7 linked regions of the Canis lupus familiaris genome follow. The main gene of each other region encodes a partner of the protein of the gene in region 4 in a complex. Links are inferred from orthologs where the notes say so. Each region holds a gene or a part of one and is shown on either strand. Other genes may lie near its edges.

Region 1 (3,500 bases), on a different chromosome or scaffold from region 4:
ATGATGTCCACTCTATACCGCTTGGCCAATCAGCTCCTGACAGACTTGGTAGATGATAACTACTTCTATCTCTTTGATCTGAAAGCCTTCTTCACGTCCAAGGCACTCAATATGGCCATTCCTGGAGGCCCCAAATTTGAACCTCTTGTTCGAGACATCAACCTCCAGTAAGTTGGAGATACTAGGGATTATAGGCACCTCGGATTGAGTAAAATCTAATCTTGATCCTTGAGATGCCATTGTAGTTTCCAAACTCCCCAACTAGTCTGCTCATCCTTGATAATGTACCCTAGGGATGAAGACTGGAATGAATTCAACGATATTAACAAGATCATCATCCGGCAGCCTATCCGCACTGAATACAAGATTGCTTTTCCCTATCTGTACAACAACCTTCCACACCATGTCCACCTTACCTGGTGAGAGCTAGAGCAAAGGGGGAGAGGGGGGAGAGGATATTGGGCCAGGGCAGGAGAACCTGAGTTTATTACTCTTCCTTTATTTTAGGTACCACACTCCTAATGTTGTGTTCATCAAAACTGAGGATCCTGATCTCCCAGCTTTCTACTTTGATCCTTTGATCAACCCAATTTCTCACAGGCACTCTGTCAAGGTAAGACCTTAGTTCTTTTTTCTTTTTTTTTAAGATTTTATTTATTCATGAGAGAGAGAGAGAGAGAGAGAGAGAGAGGCAGAAACACAGGCAGAGGGAGAAGCAGGCTTCATGCAGGGAGCCTGATATGGGACTCCATCCCAGGTCTCCAGGTTCAGGCCCTGGGCTGAAGACGGCGCTAAACCACTGAGTCACCCGGGCTACCAAGATCTTAGTTCTTTGAAGAGAAATTTGCTGACTGTAGCTGAAGTGTTACTAAATAAAAATTGAACTACCTATTTAGTGTTCCCTTTGAGCTTTGATATGTCAGTAAAGTGCTTGGTTTAAACTAAGTTATTTGTATAATCTGGGTTTTTGTGATTGGGACTTTCCATATAGTAATTTCAGGGCTGTTTGCATTATGAATTTTTTCCAATCCTTTTATTAGATATATTTATTAGTTCACATACCGTACAACTCACCCATTTAAAGTTTATAATTCAGTGGTATTTAGTTTATTCACAGAGTAGTTTAGCTATATCCACAGACAATTTTCCAACCTTTTCATCATCCCAGAAATTCCCATACCATTAGCAGTCGCTGTTTCCCTCCCCTAGTCAACTCCTAGTCTTTCTGTAGATTTGCCTCTTCTGGAGGTTTCATATAAATGGGATCTTTCAGTATGTGGTCTTTTGTGATTGGCCTTTTTTTTTTTTTTATTTATTTATTTTTTTTTTTTTTGGCCTTTTTTTTTTTTTTAAGAGTTTATTTATTTATTCATGAGAGACAGAAAGGCAGAGACATGGGCAGAGATCTAGGCAGGCTCCCCACGGGAACCTGATATAGGACTCGATCCCAGCACTCTGGGATCACGCCCAGAGCCAAAAGCAGACACATCCCTCTGATTGGTTTGAAATAATGTTTTTGATGTTTACCCATGTTCTATAGTGTTCTTAACAGACCTCCCTACTCTAGCTTAGTTTTTGTGTTTACTTAACATATTGGGGCTCCTTTGGGAGGCCTTTGGTGGTGAGCCCGTTAGGGTGTGATGCTTGCTTTCTGCTTGGCCCTAGCTTGTTCTCTACTCCCTTGGCCCTTTTTGCCCTGGCCCTTTAGGGCTTCTCTTGTCTGGCAGCCCAGTTTCCATGGTAGATGGCACCACTGTGCTCAGCCCCAGATAATTTCCCTCTCATCCCAGTTCTCTGTTCAGTTCAGTGGGAGCTGAACCCTTGGGGGTTGTTCTTTCAGAGCCAGGAACCATTACCTGATGATGACGAGGAGTTTGAACTCCCAGAGTTTGTGGAGCCCTTCCTGAAGGACACACCCCTTTACACAGACAATACAGCCAATGGCATTGCCCTGCTCTGGGCCCCAAGGCCCTTCAACCTACGCTCTGGTCGTACCCGCCGGGCCCTGGACATCCCCCTTGTCAAGAACTGGTAAGACTAATACCTGGGGAGATGATAGTAGATGTATAGGAGAAAAGAATTCCAACTGGGTTGACATTCAGTCTTTACCAGAGGGATTAGAAGGAGAAATGGGCTAGCTCTGGTTGGCTAATTTTCTCAGGTATCGGGAGCATTGTCCTGCTGGGCAACCTGTGAAAGTGAGGGTCTCCTACCAGAAACTTCTTAAGTACTATGTGCTGAATGCCCTGAAGCACCGGCCCCCTAAAGCCCAAAAGAAGAGGTAAGGTGCCTGAGGGTCATTGCTCAGACTTCTTTTGTTCCAAATTTAACCAAGAAGCTAATTCTTACTTTTCCACTTATTCCCACCCCAGGTACCTGTTTCGTTCCTTCAAAGCTACCAAATTCTTTCAGTCCACAAAGCTGGACTGGGTAGAGGTGGGGCTTCAGGTTTGCCGCCAGGGCTACAACATGCTCAACCTTCTTATTCACCGAAAAAACCTCAACTATCTGCATCTGGATTATAACTTCAATCTTAAGCCTGTCAAGACCCTCACTACCAAGGTGTCTGCATTGTACTTTAAGGGTCTTCTGGGCTTGAGGGATGGACTGGTTTTGCTCTGTCCTCTGAGGAAGGCATACATCCAGTTGGGACCATTACTGATCAATGTTTGTTTGTTTGTTTGTTTGTTTTTTCTATTCTTGGCACCTTCTCCAGGAAAGAAAGAAATCTCGTTTTGGAAATGCTTTCCATCTGTGTCGAGAAGTTCTGCGTTTAACCAAGTTGGTGGTGGACAGTCATGTGCAGTATCGCTTGGGCAATGTGGATGCCTTCCAGGTGAGGCCAAGTATCCCTGATCCCTGCCCTAGGTAGGGAAGCTGAATGAAGCCTAAGCTGATCATGGAGCTGGCTCTAGCTTAAAGCCTGATGGAGTCATTGTGTTGCAGCTGGCAGATGGGTTGCAGTATATCTTTGCCCATGTGGGGCAACTGACGGGCATGTACCGGTACAAATACAAGCTGATGCGGCAGATTCGCATGTGCAAGGACCTGAAGCATCTCATCTATTACCGCTTCAATACGGTTGGACCCTGCCCTCATACTCTCACTTTCTTCATCCAGTTTGTTCATTTGTTCATTCTTTCATTCATTCATTCATTCATTCATTCATTCATTCATTCATTCATTGTGTTTGGAAGGCAGAGGGAGAGAAAAAGAATCTTAACTAGGTCCACACTGAGTGTGAGGCCTGATATGGGGCTCAATCTCATGACCCCGAGTCTCAGATCCATTTTAATTTTTATGTCTAGTCAGCGTTCCTTCCGGGGACCAATTTAGAGAAAGGTTCTGAGCGTTTCATTACTTGCCCTCACCTTATTAATTGTAACACTTTCCATTGAAGCCTGCCTTTAAATAGAGAATCCCAGTTACTGGTTTCTGTGTTAGAATTTCTCATTTATTCCATTTTTGATGTTGAGGTCCCAGAGTTTTGCCTCTTTGCC
Region 2 (3,500 bases), on a different chromosome or scaffold from region 4:
ATCTATTAAGATATAAAATAATTCAAAACTTTCTTTTGTATGTCAACCATATTTCAATAAGAAAAGAGAAAAACCTAAAAAATTCTTCTCTTTGCCAATACTTAGCAGTTTTGTTTTTGTGAGATTTTTTTCTTAGTCATTAATTGAAATATTAATGTTATTGAGCATGTAATAGAGTAGGTGCCATTTGTTGAGTGGACACATTCTTTTGGCCCCAAGCTGCAAGGGATTTTACACACATTTCCTCCTTTAAAGCCACTGAGTTGGGGCATCCTGGGTGGCTCAGTGGTTTAGTGCTGCCTTCAGCCCAGGGTGTGATCCTGGAGAACCAGGATCGAGTCCCATGTCGGGCTCCCTGCATGGAGCCTGCTTCTCCCTCTGCCTGTGTCTCTGCCCCCCCCCCCTCTCTTTCTCTCATGAATAAATAAATAAGAAATCTTTAAAAATAAATAAATAATACCACTGAGTTGGGTTAGTATTATTTTTCTCTATTTACAGAGAACCGAGTCTTAGGCAAGTTAAATGAATTGTCTAGGATGGCATGGTTTATAACAGACCTCAGCTTTTTCATTTCTCAAAACTCCCATTTGTACCCACTACAGAAATACTGAATAAGCACTGGAGGAAGACAGATGAACCAGACACAACCCCCTGCCAGAGGTTACAGATTACCGGTTCTTCACCTTTGCAAATGTTTTATCAAACCCTATAGTTTGTATTGTTGGGGGTTTGGGTTTGGGTTTGGGTTTGTTTTTGTTTTTTTGTTTTTTTAAAGCCTTGTTGTCTTACATGGTATTTCCTTAATTCCCCTGAACTTGTTCTCGTGCACCCTGATGTTAAGAACTGGATCAAGTATGCTCGCTTTGAAGAAAAACATGGTTATTTTGCCCATGCACGGAAAGTGTATGAGAGAGCTGTTGAATTCTTTGGAGATGAACATATGGATGAACACCTTTATGTTGCCTTTGCCAAATTTGAAGAAAATCAGAAAGAAGTAAGTACACTTGAAGAGCTCAGTTATATTGCAGAACAGTTTAGGAAAGAATACTTGTGCACATGGAGTTCATTCCATTTTCTTATTCACTTATCCTTGGAAAAAATGTTTCCAGAATCTCTCAGAGAACAGCACACATGTGGCTTAGCTGCAGATTGGAAACTGAGCAATTTACACATTGTACTAAAGTGTCCTAATTGTATTGTCCTTTTTGAAAATTCAGCTTTCATATCTATGATGAGAATATTGTATGTAAACTGAAAGTTCATCATTTGCTCTCCTCATAAAAGGGCTTTACAGGTAATAAACCTGGAGAACAGAAACCTTTAGAACAGAGAACAGAATTTGAATGAAAACAGAGGTTTCCCCACAAATAAATCGGTTCTGATCTTCCATAATATATATGGAAATAATCCCTTAAAGTAACTCAGATACTACAGGATCGAGAGAGATGGGCTAAGGTCCAAATACAGGGTCAGGCCAGTGGGAATTATGAAGGGTTTGAAGCATAAGAGTGGTAGGATGTGATTTATATTCTAAGGAAGGCCTCTAGCTAATCCATGTAGACTGTATTGGGGAAAACGATGGTGAAAATGGAAGTAAAGGGACTTTTGAAGTGGTTGCGGAAGAAATGGAGATGGTTTGGGGGTGGGGGGGGTACAAAGAGCCATGTTGAAAAGGTAGAGGTGGCAGGGCTCTTTGAGGTAGTGCATGTGGGGAATGAGGACAGGAAAAGAGTCAAGGAGGACTCTTGGGGTTTGGGGCTCGAGCAAGTGCATGACTGTAGGTATTGCTTACAAAGACTGGGAAGACAGAGAGACCCAGGTTTGATGGTGAGAAAAAGGAGGTCAGTTTGGGACCTTTTTAGTCCTAGATGCACAGACGATACCCAACTGGCAGTGTTAGGTAGACAGTATTAGGCGTGGAGCTCAAAGAAGAATATTGGTGTGCCCCAACAAATACCTCAACAGGAGGGAGAAAAAAGTCTTTTTTAGGACATTTTGAAACCACACAATCTTACAGGTAATATATTATGTCATAATTACCTTCCAAGTTGTTGCTAGGGTGAGAATATTGTGTTGAGAAGTAATCCTCCTATCTGCTTTTAGTTTGAAAGGGTACGAGTGATCTACAAGTATGCCCTGGATAGAATTTCAAAGCAGGAGGCCCAAGAACTCTTTAAAAACTATACCATCTTTGAGAAGAAGTTCGGTGATAGGCGGGGTATTGAAGACATCATTGTGAGCAAACGAAGATTCCAGTATGAGGAAGAAGTGAAGGTGAGTGCTGATGCGGACGCTGACCCCTGTAGGTAACAAACATGCTGACCAATAGCAGCTACAGTGAAGGGAAGAATAGCAAGCAAGGACTCCCAGGGATCATGCTCTTGCTGATACGTCTGCAGTAATTGGCAGCCACTGCAACAGGAATCAGCAGGGCTCATAGAAAAGGCCAGCAAGCAGCGCTTGGGTTTGCTCTGCCACCAACATGTTGAAAGTCACTTTGCTGCTTGCTGATTGTGTACCGTAGAACTTGAGCAAATACTGGGAATCCATTTGAACTCATTTCTGAAAAAGATGGACGAGTCAGAGATTGAGCCAAATAGCCTTTGTGCACTACCTTTTAGCTTAACTGCTTGAACAAAAGATGTACTGTAGATATGGTTCTCTTCTCTATCTGTGATGTACTATTTTGTTTCAGATTCAAAGGCAATAGTGTTTCACTAATCTGCTGTGTATCTTAAAGCTTTTGCTAAGTCAAATTAATTAGGATATTGCCAAACAAAGGACTGGGTCCTGTGTTAAATGAGGTCAGTAAGATATATTCAAGATAAATGACTTACTGGAGAAGGCAGATTTCACATTTGTGGCCATGGTTCTGATTGCACTGTAATTTTAAATCTAGACATCATAATGATAAGCAGTCACATATATAAACAAATACATTCATAAAACTAGGCATCTGATTATTGAGTAACTATCTTGAGGGTGGTGGTTGTATATGAAAGCGGCCTTGCCGTGGGACACCTGGCAAATAATCTGTCCTCTATGTTCCTTTTTCTTTTCTATTTATAGGATCTCAGGAACAGTATTTTTAAATGAGCTAGTATGTGAAATCTAGAAAAACAGTTGCTAACATACAGTCAATCAAGGGTGTTCTTTTTCCTCACAGAATCCAGTGAGTGTAGCTCTTGGTTTGATTTTTATTCATTAAACTTAAACGGTCTTTTAGGCTAATCCACACAATTATGATGCATGGTTTGATTACTTGCGCTTGGTGGAAAGTGATGCAGAAGCAGAAACCGTTCGAGAAGTCTATGAAAGAGCCATCGCCAATGTGCCACCCATTCAAGAGAAGCGGCACTGGAAGCGTTACATCTATCTGTGGGTCAACTATGCACTCTATGAAGAATTGGAGGCCAAGGTAAAAAGTGGACTTCCGCATCAGCTATTGATGGCTGCGTCACCTCTGCGGGTATAAGTCTGCTGTTTTGGGTAGCGGTGGG
Region 3 (3,969 bases), about 93 Mb from region 4:
TCATTAAGCTTACCTCCCATGTTTTCAGGGCAGCTCAAAACTAATACAGCATGAGGTGGTGGCCTCATGATGGTTGGCACCATCAAAGCATCAAGTCAACACACCACATTCCCGGAGAAACAATCTAATCAAGTCCAGCCTAAACGGTGGAACTTTTACTCACTTTAAAACAGCTGGGGTATCCAAACAGGGCTCGAGACAGGATGAGGAAGATCCCCCACTATCTGCCATTTCTGCAGAGGGAGATTTTTAGATAGTTAAGTTGTTCTTTATACTAAAACTTTAAATTTCAAAAATTCCTGTTGAGCTCAAGAAGGACTTCCAGAATTATAAACTCATGTTTTGCCTTTACACAGAAGAAAATAAAACAATTATCTTGTGATGAGTTTCAAGTTTGCATTTCTAATAACTGTACTATATAATATTAAAAGTTTATTAAAACAGAAATCCAAATTTTTGGACCAAAGAAAAAGTACCTTAAAGATAAAACAAAGACAAATACTCAAAGTGAGCCCAACTAAACTGTTCTTATCAGTAGGTTCGATCCCAGAGTGCGTTCCTCAGTGATCCCGCAGTCCAGCCTACAGCTGACACACAGGGATGGGAAAAGAACAAACAACTTGCTGAAAGTCCCTAAGAGCTCAGGTTAACACAAAATCTGTCTCCCAAAGAAGAGCGTCTTGCTGGGTTTTGCCTGGGTATGAAGAGCCAAAGGAGCCTCCCGTCTCTAACCATCCTGACCCTGCACCGAGGGCAGCAGGAGCTGGTCACCACCTGGTGTTTATGCCCCCACATGCCCCGCACAATTCAGAACACACACCCTACGTTATTTCAAGGTCAACAGAGCAGCAATGGTGTTTCTCAGGAAAGTGCTTGGAGGTGGTTCTTCACTGACCACAGCAGTGTCTGCTTTTGACGCGACAAACTGGCGCCGCAGCTCTCCCGAGCTCCCCAGGCACCTCCTCAGGCTCCCCAAGAAGAGAAAGGGAACGGCCAGTCTCCCAGCACCCTTACTCTGATCCCGAACTCTGCCAAGTGGTTTTTGGAAGCCACTTCAGAATTCCCAGGGCAGCTTTTGGGCAGAGCTGTGTGTGGACCTCACCCCAGACCTGCAGAACGAGAACCTCGGAGGTGCACCTGAGCAAGTCTTCCAAGCGATCCTCACGTGACTGACCGGAAAGACGGCCTCCACAGTTCCACGGTTCCCAGTGCTACCACCCGGCCTCGCTTGGCTTCTCCCGCCACACAGGAGATCAGAAAAAGTAGCAGTGGAAGGTCAGATAGTTGTTAGTGAACTAACCTCAATGTGGGGTCCTGCTCTGACCCCCGAGACTTCGCCTTTCCCAGACACATCTGTCCCTACACCTGTTACCATGTACTGAGCTATCTTAAGCCCTTCTTCCTCTGAAAGAAATCATGGCTTTAATGTTTCCATTACTCTTGACCTCTCCTTATTTACGGAATATCAGTAAGTAATCTATGAATTGGCTACAACTACACATCCAAATGAAAGTTCTCCTGAAATGAGCCCACAGAGCCCACAGGAGAGCACCAGGTGCTGCTGGTTCTGGAACTGCCAACAGAGCCTCCGACAAGCCAGGGTGCCAGCATGGTGACCCAGACTGGGTCCAACCAGGCAAGTCTCCCAGAGCACGTCTGAGCTAGGAGTGCACTTAGGGCACAAAGACCGGGATGGAGAACAGGCTTTCCTTCCCCTGACAGGCACGACTGCCTCCCACACACAGGGAGCAAAGCACCAAAAACTGGCAATCCTGTGCAGCTACCTGGCTAAAATGGCGTTCCACGAAGTCCCTAGGTGTGCTGCTCCCAGCTCCGTGGAGGTGGCACCATGAACCCCTTCAAAACCTGGAGACCAGGGACACACTGCTCCCACGGAAGGACCGTAGCCTCGGGGCACAGGGTCAGGCCCCCTGAGCCCGCCGCACCCTACCCTCTGAGGCCTGGAGCCTCCACGCGGGGGTCAGGCCCTTGGACCCTGCTGCGCCTCTGCAGCCTGGAGGAAGAGGAGGACCTGCACGCGGTCACCTCACTCCAACCCTGCAGCCACCTAGCAAACGGGGCAAACCAAAGACCACAGCTTCCTAGGCTGACGCTGGGCGGGGGGCTGTGTTACCTTCTCCGCGATGCTGTACAGCACCTCGTCCATCTTCATACACGTGGGGTCCCAGTCGTGTCCAAAGCGGATGACGACCACGCGGTCCTCCTCCGACAGGATGGCCTGATCCACCTGCCAGCCGTTGTGCAGGTGTGGGAGCATGTACGACATCTCGGGGCGGCTCCGGGTACACCTGCGGGCACACCTGCGGGAACTGTGCGCACCGGCTCCTTGCGGCCGACTGCGGGCAAGGGCTGCACGTCGCACCCGCCCGCGCCCCTGGGTCCCACAGCAGACCTCACCCCCCCGACCCCTGGAAGAGGGACGGCACTGAGGGGACGCCCTGCAGACCCAGTCCCCGGTGCGGAGGCCCCGGGGTCGCCCCCATCCGTGCCCCTCGGTCCCGCCGCGGGGAGGGCCTGGGACCCCCGCAGACCTTGCCCCCGGCCCCCGGCCCCGGCCCCGGCCCCTGTCAAGCTCTACCCCTGGAAGGAGAACGGGGCCGCGAGGACGCCCCGCAGACGCCAGCCCCTGCCTCCCTCGCCCCCGCTCCCCGCTCCGTCCGCCCGCACCTCAGCCGACCGCAGCCTCCCGCGCGGCAGCCCTTCCCGGCGGGGACGCGAGCCGGTCGGTGCGTGCGCGTGGCCGCCGACGCGAGCGTGAGCGTGCGCGTGGCCGCCGACGCGAGCGTGAGCGTGAGCGTGCGCGTGGCCGCCCGACGTAAGCGTGAGCGTGCGCGTGCGCGTGCGCGTGGCCGCCCGACGTAAGCGTGAGCGTGCGCGTGCGCGTGCGCGTGCGCGTGGCCGCCGACGAGGGGCCGCGCGCGCCCGGCGCCGGGAGGGAGGGACACCGAGCCGGGGCTCCCGTGTGCGCCCGGGCGGTGCGGCCGGTGGCCCCCGGACCCCGCGGGGTCGGTCTCCTGAGGTGTCGCCGCGGTCACGGGGGGCCCGGCTTTGCCGCCTGATTCTCAGCCCCAGTCAGGCCCCTCGGAGCGACCCAGCTTCTCCGCGGCGCCCCCGTGCCCTGGGGGTGTGACGAGGGCAGCCGGCCGAGCGGAGCTGCGAGGTGCGGTTCGGGTCCCGGCGGGGAGCAGCGCTGGGAGCCGGGGGACGGGGCCGGCACACGGGACAGGCCGAGGACCGTGACGTGACGGGCTGGGGAAGGCCCGTCCTGCTCACCGCACAGCCGTCCCCGGGGCGGTCAGGGCAGACTAGGCCCCGCTGTGCGGTCGCCGCGTCAGCAGAAGACCAGCTAAGGTGTGGGTCACCGTGTGAAACACGCACGGCCCTTGTCGCCCGTCGCCCCGTCCGCCTCCGGGCGCGTCCTTTTTGTCAAGAAGCTGACGGAGGATCCCCCACGTCCTGTGGGGTCCTCGCGCTGCAGCCCCGGGGGGTCGTAGAAGCGCCACTGCGGTCTCCGTTGGGGCAGCTCCCGTCCTGCTGGGGGGAGGCCCGAGCGCGGTCGGCTGGTCGTCCCCACTCCCCGCGGTCCCTGAGCCCCGGCGACCGCGGACTCCCGCCCGCCTCCCTGCCCCCGCCTGCCCCGGGCAGTTCGTGCGAGCGGAGACCGACCGGGACATCGCCCGGGACTGCCTTCTCCAGGCCGCGCTGTCCGCGGGCGTCAGGATTCGGTCCTCGGTGCTGGTTACCACTTCATCATACGCATGTGTGCATTTTTTTATTTTTATTTTTTATACATTTATTTTTTGTTGGTGTTCAATTTGTCGACATCTAGAATAACACCCCGTGCCCGTCCCGTCAGGTGCCCCCTCAGGGCCCGTCACCCAGTGTGTGCATTTCATTTATCCATCGTCTGACATTTGGCTGTTTCCACTTTCTGGCCGTCGTGCATAT
Region 4 (2,189 bases):
ATTATGCTGAACGAAACAACTCAGACAGAAAAAGACAAATACTATATGATTTCACTTATGTGTGGAACTAAAAAAACAAAATGAAGGAACAAACAAAACAGAAACAGACTCATAGATACAGAGAACAAACTGGTGGTTGTCAAAGGGGGTTTAGGGGGATGGGCAAAATGGGTAAAAGGGAGTAAGAAGTACAGACTTCTTGTTATGGAATGAATAAGTCAAGGGAATGAAAAGTACAGGGTAGGGAATACAATCAATGATATTGTAATTGGGTTGTGTGGTGGCAGATGGTAGTTACACTTTCGGTAAGTATAGCATAATATGTAGACTTGTCAAATACTATGTTGTACACCTAAAACTACTATAACATTGTGTATCAACTTCAATTAAAACACACACACATGCACGCATGCACGTACACACACACACACACACACACACACACAGATTGTTGGGCCTCATCCCCAGAGTTTCTTTTTTTTTCTTTTTTTTTTTTTTTTAATAAAAACAATCCCACAGCATTTATTGTCCTCTGGTAAGAACATAAAGGTAATCAAAACAATATGAACAAGGGTTTTAGAACTATATTCCCAACAAAGGACATCTAAAAAAACAAACTACGTGGCCTTCTCAAGAATTTCTCACTTCACTGATCATTCATTCTAGTTGGAGACACTTTGGAGCAGGGTAATATTATCTCCTTTTAGCATGATCCGACCCAGTTGTTTTCTTGACTTTGTTTTAGAATGAATCTCTTTGGCATCGTCTAATACAAGGCTCATGTACTCATCAAAACCAATGATACAGCCCTCTATCCGCATGTTTATTTGCTCATAAAGCCACACCTGAATCCGAGATCTATTTTGCAAGTATCTGAAGATGAGGTTGATGGGCTGAACCATCACCTTCTGCACTTTCTGGCCCTGGCCACGGTACGCCATGGTGGAAGCGGACCCCAGAGTTTCTTTAATACATCTGCAACAAGGCCTAAGAATTTACATTTCTTTTTTTTTTTTAGGATTTATTTATTTATTTGTTTATTTGTTTATTTATTTATTTGAGAGAGAGAGAACACATGAGTGGGAGGGAGAGGGAGAAAGAATCTAAAGCAGACTCCCCACTGAGCATGGAGCCCCAACACAGGGCTTACTTAATTTCATGATTGCAAGAACATGACCTGAACCAAAACCAAGAATCAGATGCTCAACTGACTGAGCCACCCAGGTGCCCCAGAATTTATATTTCTAACAACTTCTGAGGTGGTGTCAATGCTTCTGGCTTAAGGATCACTCTTTGAGAAACTTAAGAAACAAACAAAAATGTATGGGATGCCTTCCTGTGTACCTACATACACCTGATTGGAGCTGCAGAATAAGAGAAGAAAGAGAAAGGGGCAGAAAGAATATTTGAAAACATAGTGAGCAGATCTTTCCAAATTTGATGAAATACATAAATCTACACATCCAAGTTATTATAGTCCCTATGTAGAATTGGCTCCTGCAGATGAGAACTCTGTCCTGGCTGACACCTTCATTACAATCTTGTGTGGCCCTGTAGCATAGCACCAAGCTTGGCCATCCCTAAATGCCTGCCCACAGAAACCGTGAGATAATGAGTATGTGTTCAAGCCACTAAGTGTATGGTTATTTGTTACCCAGCTACAGAAAATTAATACACTAGTCTGTCTGGCTCCTGCAGTCTATGCTCCTTGTCCCTTTCCTGATTAGTTAAACATATCATGAAAGGCAGTAACTGAGGAGTTGGTAGAGATTATAGACTTTCAGAGTTCCAAGAAACTCACAGGGCACTAGTCCAGCACCTCTAAGACATGCAGATCCCCTTCCTCAAGGGAACATCTAAGAAAATAGGGATATTGGGGATCCCTGGGTGGCTCAGCAGTTTAGCACCTGCCTTCGGCCCAGGGTGTGATCCTGGAGACCTGGGATCGAGTCCCTCATCAGGCTCCCTGCATGGAGCCTGCTTCTCCCTCAGCCTGTGTCTCTGCCTCTCTCTTCCTGTGTCTCTCATGAATAAATGAATGGAATCTTTTTTTTAATTAATTAATTAATTTATTTATTTATTTATTGGAATCTTTTTTAAAAAAAGAAGAAGATTGGGATATTGAACTATAAGATGGTGATCTGAGTCCCAATAACATTGAGATGATGACTAGGGATAACTACAAGTAG
Region 5 (3,500 bases), on a different chromosome or scaffold from region 4:
TCCATTTATCCAACCCAAATCTATCAGTTTTCCTAAAGAAACAAAACATATAGTTGTCTTTTGTTCTTTGTGTATAATTCTAACAAGCTTAATTTCATTGGGTAGTAAAGCAAGGCAGCTAGAAACAAGTAGCAGCTTACAGAAAAAGACTAAATACACTAGTTCAAAAAGAAATTCTGTGAAGGCTAAAAGTAGATACTGAGAACCATGATTATAAAATAGCTAGTCAATCAGATAAATGTAAAGTTAGGATGTAGATTAACTTCAAATTAATCTTACCTGCCCTTCCCCTTCCTTTATGAAGGACTACTATGAAAACGGAAGCAAAAGTCAGACTCCAAACAAAAAAAAAACCCCTACCAAACAAAAATCCCCTCCAATTCAGATCCCTAAGGTATCCCTATAATACACCATAACTGTTTTTTGTCTACACTATTCTCTATAGAGCTTAGAGATTTTTACATTGGCTAAAAGGGAAGCCAGGTAGATGAGCTACATATTAGCATTATACTTCAGAAAGAACAAATACTCTTACATCTGTTTAACATGATTTTGACGTAAGACTGCCTGCCTCCTCCTTCCCTCAAATAAATACACTGCACTACTGTATAGAATATCTGAATACAATGAACTTAAGTTAAAAGGAAAAGGTAAAATTGAGAGTTTAGCATGCTTTGTTTATAGCTCTATAAATACTTCTATCCAGAGTGGGAAAAAAATCCTTTTTCACTTGAAAATAGAAAGTTTTAGTTAGCTGAAAAATTTGTTAACTGAGGTATTACTGAAATCCAGCATTGATAAATGTAACCACATCATTTTAAGGGAGGAAAAAGAGAACAACCCACCTAATTCTTCTCCACTATTATAATCATACTTATAAAGTTTAAAGTCTTCACCACCTGCAACAAGAAATTCTTTCTCAGGATGAAGAGATGCAGAATTGATGGTTGCAGGAGCTTCAAAAGATTTAATTGGGTCCAAACTGAAAAATGATTTAAATAATATTGATGAATTTTCAATATTGCATAAACAATACCAGGAAAGAGTACTTTTAAACTGTTCCTAATTCCTGAAACCCAAGAAATAATTATATTTTCATTTAGTCAAACATAGTGATGTTAAAAAAACAACAACAACAACAAAAAAACCTCTAAATAATATTAGCAAAAGTCCAGAAGGATACTCTGCCCAAGTGGAATTCATTCCAGGAATACAAGTACACTTTGTACAATGAACGCTTCCCTAGAAATGACTGTGGTGGCTAATTCACAACAGTATGGTTAATATATCTGGATTTTTGCCCTGAAAGAAATTTAATTCTGTATTGTTTGATTTTTCCATGACAACTACACATTATCTTTGAGAAAATGTTTTATAGTAATTAACATAAAACACTATTTGTACATTATTCTCAACTGCTGAGAATTTATAAGCTTCTGAAACAAAACCTTCAATATCACAAAAATATAAAACTGCTAAAGATGGTTCCATCTTTGCTATCAAGCTTGAAAGAAAAACCAAATTTGAAACTATAGCTATATAATAAAAATCAATGCATACCAATAGTTTCACATGAATATCAGTGAGTTTTCACATCAGCTTTTTCAGAGAAATTGATACATAATTTAGTAAAACCTAAGTATTTTCAAACAATTTTGAATAGCTAACAACAGTTTAAAATAAAAAATCAAAATTACACTTATAGGGCCCTCGTAATTAAAAAAAATACCCACACAAATACATGCATATATAATGTTACACATGTATAATGAAGAAAAAATGTGTAACCAAGAAAAAAAACTAATGGAAGATACAACTACCATTAACATTCTGGCATCTATGGTTGAAGAACAGTGGGTAAATTTTTAAAAATTATATTTCCCAAATTTTCAACAAGGGCATTTACTATATTTACAGTCACAAAAAAATTACATCTTTTTTTTTTTTAAAGATTTTATTTATTTATTCATGAGAGACAGAGAGAGAGAGAGAGAGAGAGAGAGAGAGGCAGAGACACAGGCAGAGGGAGAAGTAGGCTCCATGCAGGGAGCCCAACATGGGACTCAATCCCAGGACTCCAGGATCATGCCCTGGGCCAAAGGCAGGCACTAAACCTCTGAGCCACCCAGGGATCCCCTACGTCTGTTTTTAAAAAACATTATTAGGTCTATACAAACTTTGGAATAGAAGAAAAAAAATCACTATTTCTCTAAAATGTTAAAGGGAAAATGAATAAGAGAATCAAGATCACAGTAGCTTTATACAGTAATGAACGTTAAGTATAATTCCAGTCTAGAGATCCTTTTAAGAAAAATATAATCAAAAAAAGAAAATTTAAAAGTTACTAAATTTTACCAATAAATCTCCCCTAAACACTGGAAATAATTAGATTAATTCCCTAGTGTATCAAATTCTTAAAATACACATTATTAGTGGTATGGAAACATTTTCCCCATATAATATGGTCAAGATTTGCCTTATTAAAGAGTTATATATTTTTCACTTCTGCCTTCCAATTTTTAAGTTACCAAAAAAAAAGGGAAGGTATTTCTTGGACATACCTTACTGCACTATGAAAAGCAATAGATCGTCCATAAGTTATTACCAAGATCTCTCCCTCAGGAATATATTCCATACTGCTAACAGACATATTAAAATTTAGAGATTTCACTTCTGTCATGGTAGCATGATCCCAAAGGCTGCAAAAGAAGAGGAAAATAAGGTGATAATTAGCTTATTTAAGAAAAAAGCTTAATTCCCAATTATATTTACAGATTAACCAATGAAAGCATAATCACAATTGTAGTAAAACCTCCTCCATTCCAACTCATAAATTATAGATGATATGGAGAAATTTGGGGTTCCTATACAATGTTAAATTACTTGGTATCTTGTTGGTAAAGTTAACTTATACTTAAAAATACCTCTCTTGGCAAAACTATGCTAAAAGTCATGTAAGGTTTTAATCTTAGCAATTTTAGTGTCACTCTAAATAACAGTTCTTAAATTCTGTATTTATAAATCTGATTGGGGTTTTTTCTCCACAGAAAAAAACATCAGGTGTCAGCACACAAAATTTCATAGAATTTCAGGAGTTTCATGGACCTCCTGTAGCCAGTGTGTCCACTACTTCAGGTCAAGAGCACATGCTTATAAAGATGTCAATAATTTTAATTCAGTGTCTTGTAGATTATGCTCTATGTTTATAACAGTAAATGGATAGCTCCAAGAAAATGTGACCTATGTACAACTTAACTTTCAATGTATAGAGATAATTCTTCCTACATACAGTTATGAGAAATATTTAAAATATAAGCACTAAGGTCAAATGTTTCAAACTTTAAATTACTAAAGAAAAATTACTTACCGGACAGTTTTATCATCAGCTGAAAGAATCTGTTTATCCTCACTGCACCATAGAGCTTTCTTAATACCAGAGGTGTGACCACTGATTTCCTTAGGTTCTTAAAATGAAACAATGTAGAATATATTTGTTAATA
Region 6 (4,114 bases), on a different chromosome or scaffold from region 4:
TTTTATATATTTTGAACACCTCCCCAGAACTCTGTCACTTGGAGTTTAATCAGCTTTCCATTAACACTCTCTTGCAGTTTAAGTGATTTATTGATGTGTCTCGGCTATGGTGGTTATGGTTTCAGGACGTTTCAGCCGTTGGTCTTTTAAGAAACCCTTTTCGCTACCAGAGGAGCCATGCTACTTCATTGTGTTTGATATTCTGTCCTCCTTAACCAGTATCTTTTTTCTTCAGTTCTTCCACCTTGGCAACATAGATCCTCATGGCATCCATCTTGGACATCCCTTTATTCTGGTTCCATGCCTCCCACTTGGCCTTGGCTTTCACATCTGTAGCAGGTGGGGCAGGGATGTTGCAGTCGCCTTGGGTGGCCTGTTTGTAGAAGCTGTACACCAGTAGCTTCTCCTGATCACTCACAGGTCCCTTCAACTGCTTGATAGCAGCACAGGCCATCTCAAACTCCACTTGGCACATTGGGGGTGCTGAGGCCCAGCCCTTGTGTCCTTTCTGGGTGATGGCTGGCACTGGAAGCTGGAGGATGGAGAATTAGAAACACTGGAGGCTAGTGATTAGGTCTGGGAGGAAGGGAATGGGAGCAAAGAAGACAGGGTAATGTGTGAGAAGAACATAGGATGTTTGTGTATGTGTTTTCTCAGGAGTCAAATGTGTTTTTATAAAGTACAGATTGGAAACTAAGGCCCACTGGAATGGATCTCCGCCACTATTGCTCTGGATAGCAAAGTGCATTTTCTGGGGAGGGCAACCAGTAACATTTCAAAGGTGCCTTTAATGCCAGAAAATTAAGGATGCTGTCCTCCCGTGAGAAGGAAGTGTGCTGGGGGGGCGCTGCGCTGTGCCGGGAGGAGGCCTTTCAGAACCGCCAGTCTGTGCTAGTTAGTGGGCGGCCTGGGGCGGGCGTTCAGTGCGGTGAACCTTAAGCGCGGGATCCCGAGGGTTACTGGATGGAAGCGAACGCGGAGCCGAGGCGGAGCTAGTGGGGTGATCCCGTGGGGATGATCCCCCAGGGCTGCGCTGGGCGGGGCAGAAGCAGGGCAGCGGCGCGGGCCAAGGGGAAGGTGGGGACCGCGGCTTGGGGGCGGGGCGGGGCGCGCCCGGCCGAAGGGAAGCGCGGGTCCACTTGCCGGCTGGCTTGGCGGAGGCCTCGGCTGGTAGGGGGCGCTGTGGGCCGGGCTGCTTGGGCGCCGCGGACCTGTTGGTGGGCTCTGCGCGTGCGCGCGGCGCGGCGGGAGGCCTGCGGACGGCGGCGCGGAGCCTGAGCCGAGATGGTGGGCGGGGGCTGAGGCGCGGCCCATTGTCCCGCCCTCCCGGAGCCGCCCATTGTGTCGTGGCGCCTGCGTCTCACTCGGAGCCTCGGGGGGAGGGGCGGCCCGCGCGACCCGCAGCGTCGCCGCCATGGACCTAGGTGGGTGTCGCCGCTCTCGGTCCTCCGCCCTCGTGGTCTGCGTCCCGCACCAGGCGGCCAGGGCGGTGCAGAGCGGGCCCGGGCTAAGGGAGACCTCCGGGTCGGGGAGGGCTCGGGAGGGCGGGGGTGTCCTCCGCGGCCGGGATCGGGAGGCCCGGCGCTGCCGCGGCGCCGCCGCCCCTCCACCCGCGGCTTGCCCCCCGCGGGGCGCCTTTCCACGTGAAGGGCCAAGCGGATGTGAGGTTAGATTTCCTCAGAGTGGACAGTGCTCGTGCACGTGCTTTGGAAAATGCAGGCTCAGAAGGATACACCGACGGTTTCGCTTAGTTAACCGCTGCTGAGCTCTTGGGCAAGCGTCCTCTGCCATGAGGTCCTCATCGATAAAACGGGGGTGACGATAGCATACCCACCACACACAGTTGGGGGCGTTTGATTGAGAGCACGTGTATACAGGGTCGGGTAGGGTGCCATGCGCGCAGCTAGTTCAGCCGACCGGCAGTTGTGGGGAGGGCCGAGGAGCCGAGGGGGCACGTTTGATTCAGAATCCTCACAGGCAGAGCCTGGGAGAAGGGAGCGGGGAGCTAGTATATGGTGACTCCTGTCCAGCCTCCCACCCTGCCGGTCATGCAGGAGGCTGTTCTCAGAGAGCTGAGGTGAGGCACCCCAAGGTGTGCCAGTAACAGGCTGTGGAGAAATGTTGTAGTCCTGCCCCCAGCCACGGCTTCAGTGGTGCAACAGTAGAGCTCAAGAGCTTGGAGCCCTGGAGCTGTGGTGATTTCCGTCCCAGGCCCCAACTACACTATAGTTGGGACATCCTGAGCAAATTTTTCTGAATCTCAGTGGTCCCATCTCTGAAACAGAATGGTTCTCAAAAGGTTGAGGATTAAAAGAGCTCTTGCACAGTGCCTGGCACGGAGTAAGCGCTTAATAAAGTTTTGGAGTGGGCACCTACAAGCCTGTTATCCAGTTGTGATAAAAACACTTGGGATTTGCCCAGCTATTCACCAATAGCTCCTGGGACTTACTCCTTCTGGTAGCACAATGAACATACTGTCTCTGGAATAATAGGTTTTGGGGGACAAACATCTCAGCTGAGCTGATTGTGCAACAAAATTAAATTTACAGAGTCATAAGAGAACATATTTTGGGGGCCTAGGAGAGCAGCCTGAACTAAAAAAAAGAAAGAAAAAAAAAAAAAAAGCCAGAATCCCCAGTGAGACCTGTCAGCAATCTAATCTTCCTGGGAGTCTGCCTAGGCCACTAGGAGCCAAGGTGGATTGCCTTCACCAGTTGGTTGCATAGGAGTGCTGATCCTTTGGCCTTTTGCTGCTCTCTTAAAGTTGAAGGGCAGGATCATTTTTAGTCTCCTAAATCAAGATTCTCTCTTGCTGGCTCCTGGGAAAGATATGTACTTGGGGGCATGAGGGAACGAGGAATTGGGGGCTAACACTGAACAACTAGCTCAGTACTCAGGGTGTGACTAGTATATCGCACTTGATCCTCCCAGTCTAGTATGAAGTCTGTGTTCTCCCCACAGATGCAGAAGGGAAGCTCAGAGAAGCTCTAGCTTCTAGATGGCTGAACTAGGATTTAAAGCTGTGTCTAATTAAACCTCCCCAGATGCCTTCCTTGATAAGTGTTGATTCAGGGCTTACTGGAGAAGAGACTTTTCTTTCCTAATCTACTAAGTATATTTTATGTCTACCTCTTGGTTTCTATGAGAGAACCAGAGCATTTGGTAGCTTGTTCTATTTGACAGAAAGAGCTGTGGGGTAAACTGTTTCCCTGAAAGGCAGAACATTTGAAATTTGTAAGAAGACTGTAAGACAAAAGGGGGAAGGCAGGGCTTGTTTGATTGCTTCTGCGGCCTCAGCCCTGGCCCCTCCCTTCTTAGGCTGAATCATGATTCAGAAGCTTGACTGCCATGTTGCACAGTACGCACCCTCTGTCACCCCTCCTCTCCACCTCCTCTGCTGGCCCATCCGTTACTGGAGCGCCTAGCCCTTTCCTTTACACATGGTTTTCCTGCAGAATCTCATTCACTTTGTTCGTTCCATTGATCCCCTCTAGGCAGACCCCTCCCTGAGTCACATCTCAGGGTTGACTCTCCTCTTGAGCATCAACCCCACATTTCCATTGCTGGAGGACATCTCTCTCTTAATGTTCTACCTCAAACTCCAAATAACCAAAACTGAACAGTGTTCCCCCCAAAGCTGTTCTGATTCTCTTCCTCCAGTGATAGCCATTGTCTTCTAAATCCAGGCTAGACTTTGAGAGTCCTTTATATTCCTTAGGTAAGTCCTTTTGATTCCAGCTCTACAGTGGCTAGAGCCATCTCTTCTTCCCCATTAGAACCCTTATCATCTCTAACCCTGGTGATGACAGCCAGCCTACCAACTGATGTCTCTGTCTAGCCTCTACTAACTATTTTAAAGATTTTTCACCACACTGTCTTGTGCGGCTTCTTTCTGTGCAGGACCTTTGAATATCTGTGAAGAAATGACTATTCTGCATGGGGGCTTTTTGCTTGCCGAGCAGCTCTTCCACCCCAAAGCACTGACAGAACTGACAAAGTCTGACTGGGAACATGTTGGGCAGCCCATTGTGGAGGCCCTAAGGGAGATCTCCTCCGCCACAACATGCTCCCAGCCCTTTGCCTGGAAGAAGAAAGCTCTGATCATCATCTGGGC
Region 7 (3,500 bases), on a different chromosome or scaffold from region 4:
GGCCATAAGAGGACACAGCAGGAAGACAACCACCTACAAGCCTCAGGAGAAACCAGACCTACCAACACCTTGATCTTGAACTTCCAGACTCCAAAACTTTGAGAAGTAAATTTCTGCTGCTTAAGCCACCCAGTCTGTGACATTCTGTCACGGCAGCCCTAGCTGCCTAAAACCACAGTCTATCTATTTATGTCTTCTTCAATGTCTTTCAAAGATGGACTGCAACTTCCCCCATAGAGATCTATCTCACACATCATTAAATCTTTTTTTTTAATTTTTATTTATTTATGATAGTCACACACACAGAGAGAGAGAGAGAGAGAGAGAGAGAGAGAGGCAGAGACACAGGCAGAGGGAGAAGCAGGCTCCATGCACTGGGAGCCCGACGAGGGATTCGATCCCGGGTCTCCAGGATCACGCCCTGGGCCAAAGGCAGACGCTAAACCGCTGCGCCACCCAGGGATCCCTATCTCACACATCATTTATTCCTTTTTATTTTGTTGCAATCGGCCTCTCTCTTATCCATTTTGTTATCACTTATCTATGCTACTTTACTATTTATACTGCTTTCACAAACAGTACCTTTTTTAAAGTTATACTTTCTCTCTCTTGTTGGTGTGTGTAAACACAACTGGCTCTTATCTGGTAATCTTATACCTGGCAGCCTTGCTGAAACTTGTGTGGTCTGGCTCTCAGTTCCCACCACCGCACCCCAAAAGACCACGATTTAGACAAGACCATCAGTGACCTCCATGTTGCCCAATCCAAAGGTCAATGCTCATCCCCAATACCCAAGTTCTCTGGAGCATGCGTCACAGATGCTTACACGCTTCCTCTCAAGAGCCACTTGTCACGTGACTCAGGACCTTGTCACATGACCCTCTCCTCTTGGCTACCCTCACGCACTTTCCCTTCTCCACACTCACCGTCCTGATGACTCCAGCTGATCCTAGGACTTTAAATGACTTCTGCATTTATAACTCCAGTCTCAGCCTTTCCCTTAAAGTTCAAATTCACATATCCAACTGCCTGTTCAGTATCAAATACCCCTAATAGAAAAGCACTTTTTATTAGACTTAACCAAAACCGAACATTTTGTTATCTCCCCAGCTCTTCCCATCTCAGGAATGGCCTTACCCTCTCCTTAACTCAGCAAGAGGCCAGCTGTTCAAGTCAGAATTCTTGGGAGTCATCCTTAACTTCTTGTACCCACTCACAATCTTGCACACAATCTACAAATGAGCGCTGTTGATTCTACCCTCAAAATGCATTCCAAATACAGCCACTTCCTCCTGTTTCTGCGGCTACCATCACAGTCGACGTCATTCCAACTGGATGTCTGCAACAGCCTTCCACTGCTTTTCCTCCAAAGACAGAACTCTGATGGCTACATCTACCGCAACAGCAAGTCTCTGCCTGAATGGCCCGTGACCATCTCCTTCCCTGTAACACTCCCTGGGGTTCCTGCCCCTGCAGCCATGCAGGCCTCAGCCAACTTCCTGAGCAAGCCCAGTGGCTCGTGTCTCAGGGTCTCAGGGGCCAGGTGTTCCCTCACCTTGGACTGCGCCCTTAGATGTCACTGATACTTACACTTCATCTGGATCTCAATGGTCACCTCCTCGGGGAAGCCCACCCTGACCAGAAGACCTAAAACGGGAGCGCTTCTTCACTCCTCATCTCTCCACTACCTGGCCTTTTCCTGTTTCTGCTCACAGTGGTTTTCCTACTGGATGTTGTTTATGTCTTCTTTCATGTCCTCTCACTAGAACAAAAGTTCCACAAGGACAGACTTCTGCACTCTTGGTTATCCTCATTCACACCCCTTTTGGCTACCGCCCCATTTCTCTGACCCTCTTTGCAGCAGCGGTGGACAGCATACAGCCCACCACCTGCTCTTGCCAACCAAGCCTTTTTGGATCACAGCCACGCCCACTCACCACACCATCCAGGGCCATGTTCCCTGCTGCAGCAGAGCACCTGGGTCACTGAGGCCGAGACCACCCGCCGCTGCACCTCCAACATTCGCACAGTCCACCTGCTCTCGCTCTGAGGGACTGTCCCCAATTGCTGGCCTGGCTTCCTTACCTCCTCAGTCTTGCTGACTCTATTATTCCAGATCGGACCTGCCTCTCAGGAATTAGAGGACTCCCTACTCCCCCTCCTCAAAAGCCTTACTTGGCTGCTGTGCCACCCACTCCCATGGCTCTCTTCCAGCTCAGGGGCTGCTGCTTCTCTGACCCCACAGCAGGAGCCCCCACGGGCTGGGCCACTGCTCCAGTCTCTCCCCCCTGAGCTGGGAGGGGTAGGGTGAAAAGCGTGGACTTTGGAGTCAGGCTGTTCAAACCCCAGCTCTGCCACTTACCAGCCATGTAACCCCAGGTCACTTCCCTAAGGCCTCTATGCCTCAGTTTCCTCATCTATAAAACGGAGATAACAGAACCTTCCTCACAAGGTGTTGCAGTGAACATCAAGTCACTGGATATACAAAGCACGCAAGCAGGGCCTGGCCCAGGCAAGTGCCCACTGAGGGTCAACAGTGGTCATGGCCATAAGGCCCCACTGGCCTCTGTCCGGCTCATACTGCCAGGCCCTCAAGTGTTCTAGGCTACTCCTCCCAAGGACACCTGCTGTCTCTACCACCTGAGTGCCCAGTCTGCCCACCCACCTCCACCCTGAATCTCTGCAAGATTGGCTCCTCGTTGTTATTTATGTCTCAGCTCAAATGCCATCCCCTGCAAGGTCTCCCCTCAAAAGCAGACCCAAGACTCCAGCCCTCCAGCCATCTGCTCCGCTTTCCACAGACGGTCTGCCCAGCTCCAGGTGCTACCAGAAGTGCTGTGTGCGCATGTGCACACACGCTTACTGCTACCCTGCCCTCAGGCCACAGCTAGAGAGGCAGCTCCAAGAACACAGGGCCCCTCGCTGTCCTGCTCACCAGTGATACCCCCACCCCCGGGGACAATCCTTACTCCCAGGAGGAATGCAACACCCAGCCATAGAAGGAAAGAAGACAGGGAAGGCTCCAACTTTAAAATATCTTGAGAGCAAAACACTGGTTGATCTTAAAGAAATCTGCTAACAACATGACATTACACACACAAAAGAGTTCCAAACTGGAATGAAGGTGCCATGCTCCTGAGGACAGGTCACCATGGACACACCTGTCCCTAAAGGCCCTGGCCCTGAGGAGGTCAGCATGCCCCCAACCCCACGCTCAGCTCCTGGGCCCCCTCACCTTCTCACCGCTGTCTCGCAGCTGCTGGAGTTGCTGGAGCTGCCGCAGGCGACGCCCCTTCTCCAGCTGCTTCTGCAGCTCCAGCTCTGCCTCATCCTCCTCCAGCACCTCTGGGGACCCTGACTGTGGTCCTCCAGCCTCTTCTGAAAGAAACAAAGGGAAGCCCTGCTCAGATCACCTCCTTGCCCAGGGCCCCTCAGCCCGGCCCTTGCCACCCCTACCCTGCCCCGGCTGGACAGGCCCCTCACCCTCATCGCTGATGTCC

What was found.
Region 1: small nuclear ribonucleoprotein E-like (region 4) and PRPF8 share a complex: the UniProt entries of both Homo sapiens proteins name them as parts of the U4/U6-U5 tri-snRNP complex. The link is inferred for Canis lupus familiaris from reciprocal best matches to the Homo sapiens genes SNRPE and PRPF8.
Region 2: small nuclear ribonucleoprotein E-like (region 4) and CRNKL1 share a complex: the UniProt entries of both Homo sapiens proteins name them as parts of the minor spliceosome. The link is inferred for Canis lupus familiaris from reciprocal best matches to the Homo sapiens genes SNRPE and CRNKL1.
Region 3: small nuclear ribonucleoprotein E-like (region 4) and TXNL4A share a complex: the UniProt entries of both Homo sapiens proteins name them as parts of the U4/U6-U5 tri-snRNP complex. The link is inferred for Canis lupus familiaris from reciprocal best matches to the Homo sapiens genes SNRPE and TXNL4A.
Region 5: small nuclear ribonucleoprotein E-like (region 4) and STRAP share a complex: the UniProt entries of both Homo sapiens proteins name them as parts of the SMN-Sm complex. The link is inferred for Canis lupus familiaris from reciprocal best matches to the Homo sapiens genes SNRPE and STRAP.
Region 6: small nuclear ribonucleoprotein E-like (region 4) and GEMIN4 share a complex: the UniProt entries of both Homo sapiens proteins name them as parts of the SMN-Sm complex. The link is inferred for Canis lupus familiaris from reciprocal best matches to the Homo sapiens genes SNRPE and GEMIN4.
Region 7: small nuclear ribonucleoprotein E-like (region 4) and SART1 share a complex: the UniProt entries of both Homo sapiens proteins name them as parts of the U4/U6-U5 tri-snRNP complex. The link is inferred for Canis lupus familiaris from reciprocal best matches to the Homo sapiens genes SNRPE and SART1.

What each region holds. Positions count from the first base shown.
Region 1 is NC_049230.1:45,766,922-45,770,421, reverse strand, and holds part of PRPF8 (pre-mRNA-processing-splicing factor 8), read left to right. Parts: coding exon 1-167; intron 168-293; coding exon 294-419; intron 420-507; coding exon 508-613; intron 614-1,840; coding exon 1,841-2,031; intron 2,032-2,161; coding exon 2,162-2,281; intron 2,282-2,372; coding exon 2,373-2,562; intron 2,563-2,716; coding exon 2,717-2,836; intron 2,837-2,946; coding exon 2,947-3,081; intron 3,082-3,500. UniProt on the Homo sapiens protein: Plays a role in pre-mRNA splicing as core component of precatalytic, catalytic and postcatalytic spliceosomal complexes, both of the predominant U2-type spliceosome and the minor U12-type spliceosome.
Region 2 is NC_049245.1:3,686,294-3,689,793, forward strand, and holds part of CRNKL1 (crooked neck-like protein 1), read left to right. Parts: intron 1-815; coding exon 816-994; intron 995-2,040; exon of another isoform or gene 2,041-2,103; coding exon 2,104-2,274; exon of another isoform or gene 2,275-2,562; intron 2,563-2,837; exon of another isoform or gene 2,838-2,874; intron 2,875-3,226; coding exon 3,227-3,418; intron 3,419-3,500. UniProt on the Homo sapiens protein: Involved in pre-mRNA splicing process. As a component of the minor spliceosome, involved in the splicing of U12-type introns in pre-mRNAs.
Region 3 is NC_049222.1:688,547-692,515, reverse strand, and holds the start of TXNL4A (thioredoxin-like protein 4A), read right to left. Parts: upstream 2,801-3,969; 5' UTR 2,689-2,800; intron 2,331-2,688; exon of another isoform or gene 2,322-2,330; 5' UTR 2,288-2,321; coding exon 2,135-2,287; intron 234-2,134; exon of another isoform or gene 164-233; intron 1-163. UniProt on the Homo sapiens protein: Plays a role in pre-mRNA splicing as component of the U5 snRNP and U4/U6-U5 tri-snRNP complexes that are involved in spliceosome assembly, and as component of the precatalytic spliceosome (spliceosome B complex).
Region 4 is NC_049222.1:93,813,216-93,815,404, reverse strand, and holds small nuclear ribonucleoprotein E-like, read right to left. Parts: upstream 961-2,189; 5' UTR 942-960; coding exon 663-941; 3' UTR 501-662; downstream 1-500. UniProt on the Homo sapiens protein: Plays a role in pre-mRNA splicing as a core component of the spliceosomal U1, U2, U4 and U5 small nuclear ribonucleoproteins (snRNPs), the building blocks of the spliceosome.
Region 5 is NC_049248.1:15,362,699-15,366,198, reverse strand, and holds part of STRAP (serine-threonine kinase receptor-associated protein), read right to left. Parts: intron 3,465-3,500; coding exon 3,368-3,464; intron 2,700-3,367; coding exon 2,562-2,699; intron 983-2,561; coding exon 846-982; intron 1-845. UniProt on the Homo sapiens protein: The SMN complex catalyzes the assembly of small nuclear ribonucleoproteins (snRNPs), the building blocks of the spliceosome, and thereby plays an important role in the splicing of cellular pre-mRNAs.
Region 6 is NC_049230.1:45,008,207-45,012,320, forward strand, and holds the start of GEMIN4 (gem-associated protein 4), read left to right. Parts: upstream 1-1,314; 5' UTR 1,315-1,414; coding exon 1,415-1,424; intron 1,425-1,684; exon of another isoform or gene 1,685-1,794; intron 1,795-1,964; exon of another isoform or gene 1,965-2,077; intron 2,078-3,900; coding exon 3,901-4,114. Other genes in the region: diazepam-binding inhibitor-like 5, read right to left, coding at 212-532, 1,144-1,314. UniProt on the Homo sapiens protein: The SMN complex catalyzes the assembly of small nuclear ribonucleoproteins (snRNPs), the building blocks of the spliceosome, and thereby plays an important role in the splicing of cellular pre-mRNAs.
Region 7 is NC_049239.1:51,806,163-51,809,662, forward strand, and holds part of SART1 (U4/U6.U5 tri-snRNP-associated protein 1), read right to left. Parts: coding exon 3,484-3,500; intron 3,379-3,483; coding exon 3,236-3,378; intron 1-3,235. UniProt on the Homo sapiens protein: Plays a role in mRNA splicing as a component of the U4/U6-U5 tri-snRNP, one of the building blocks of the spliceosome. May also bind to DNA.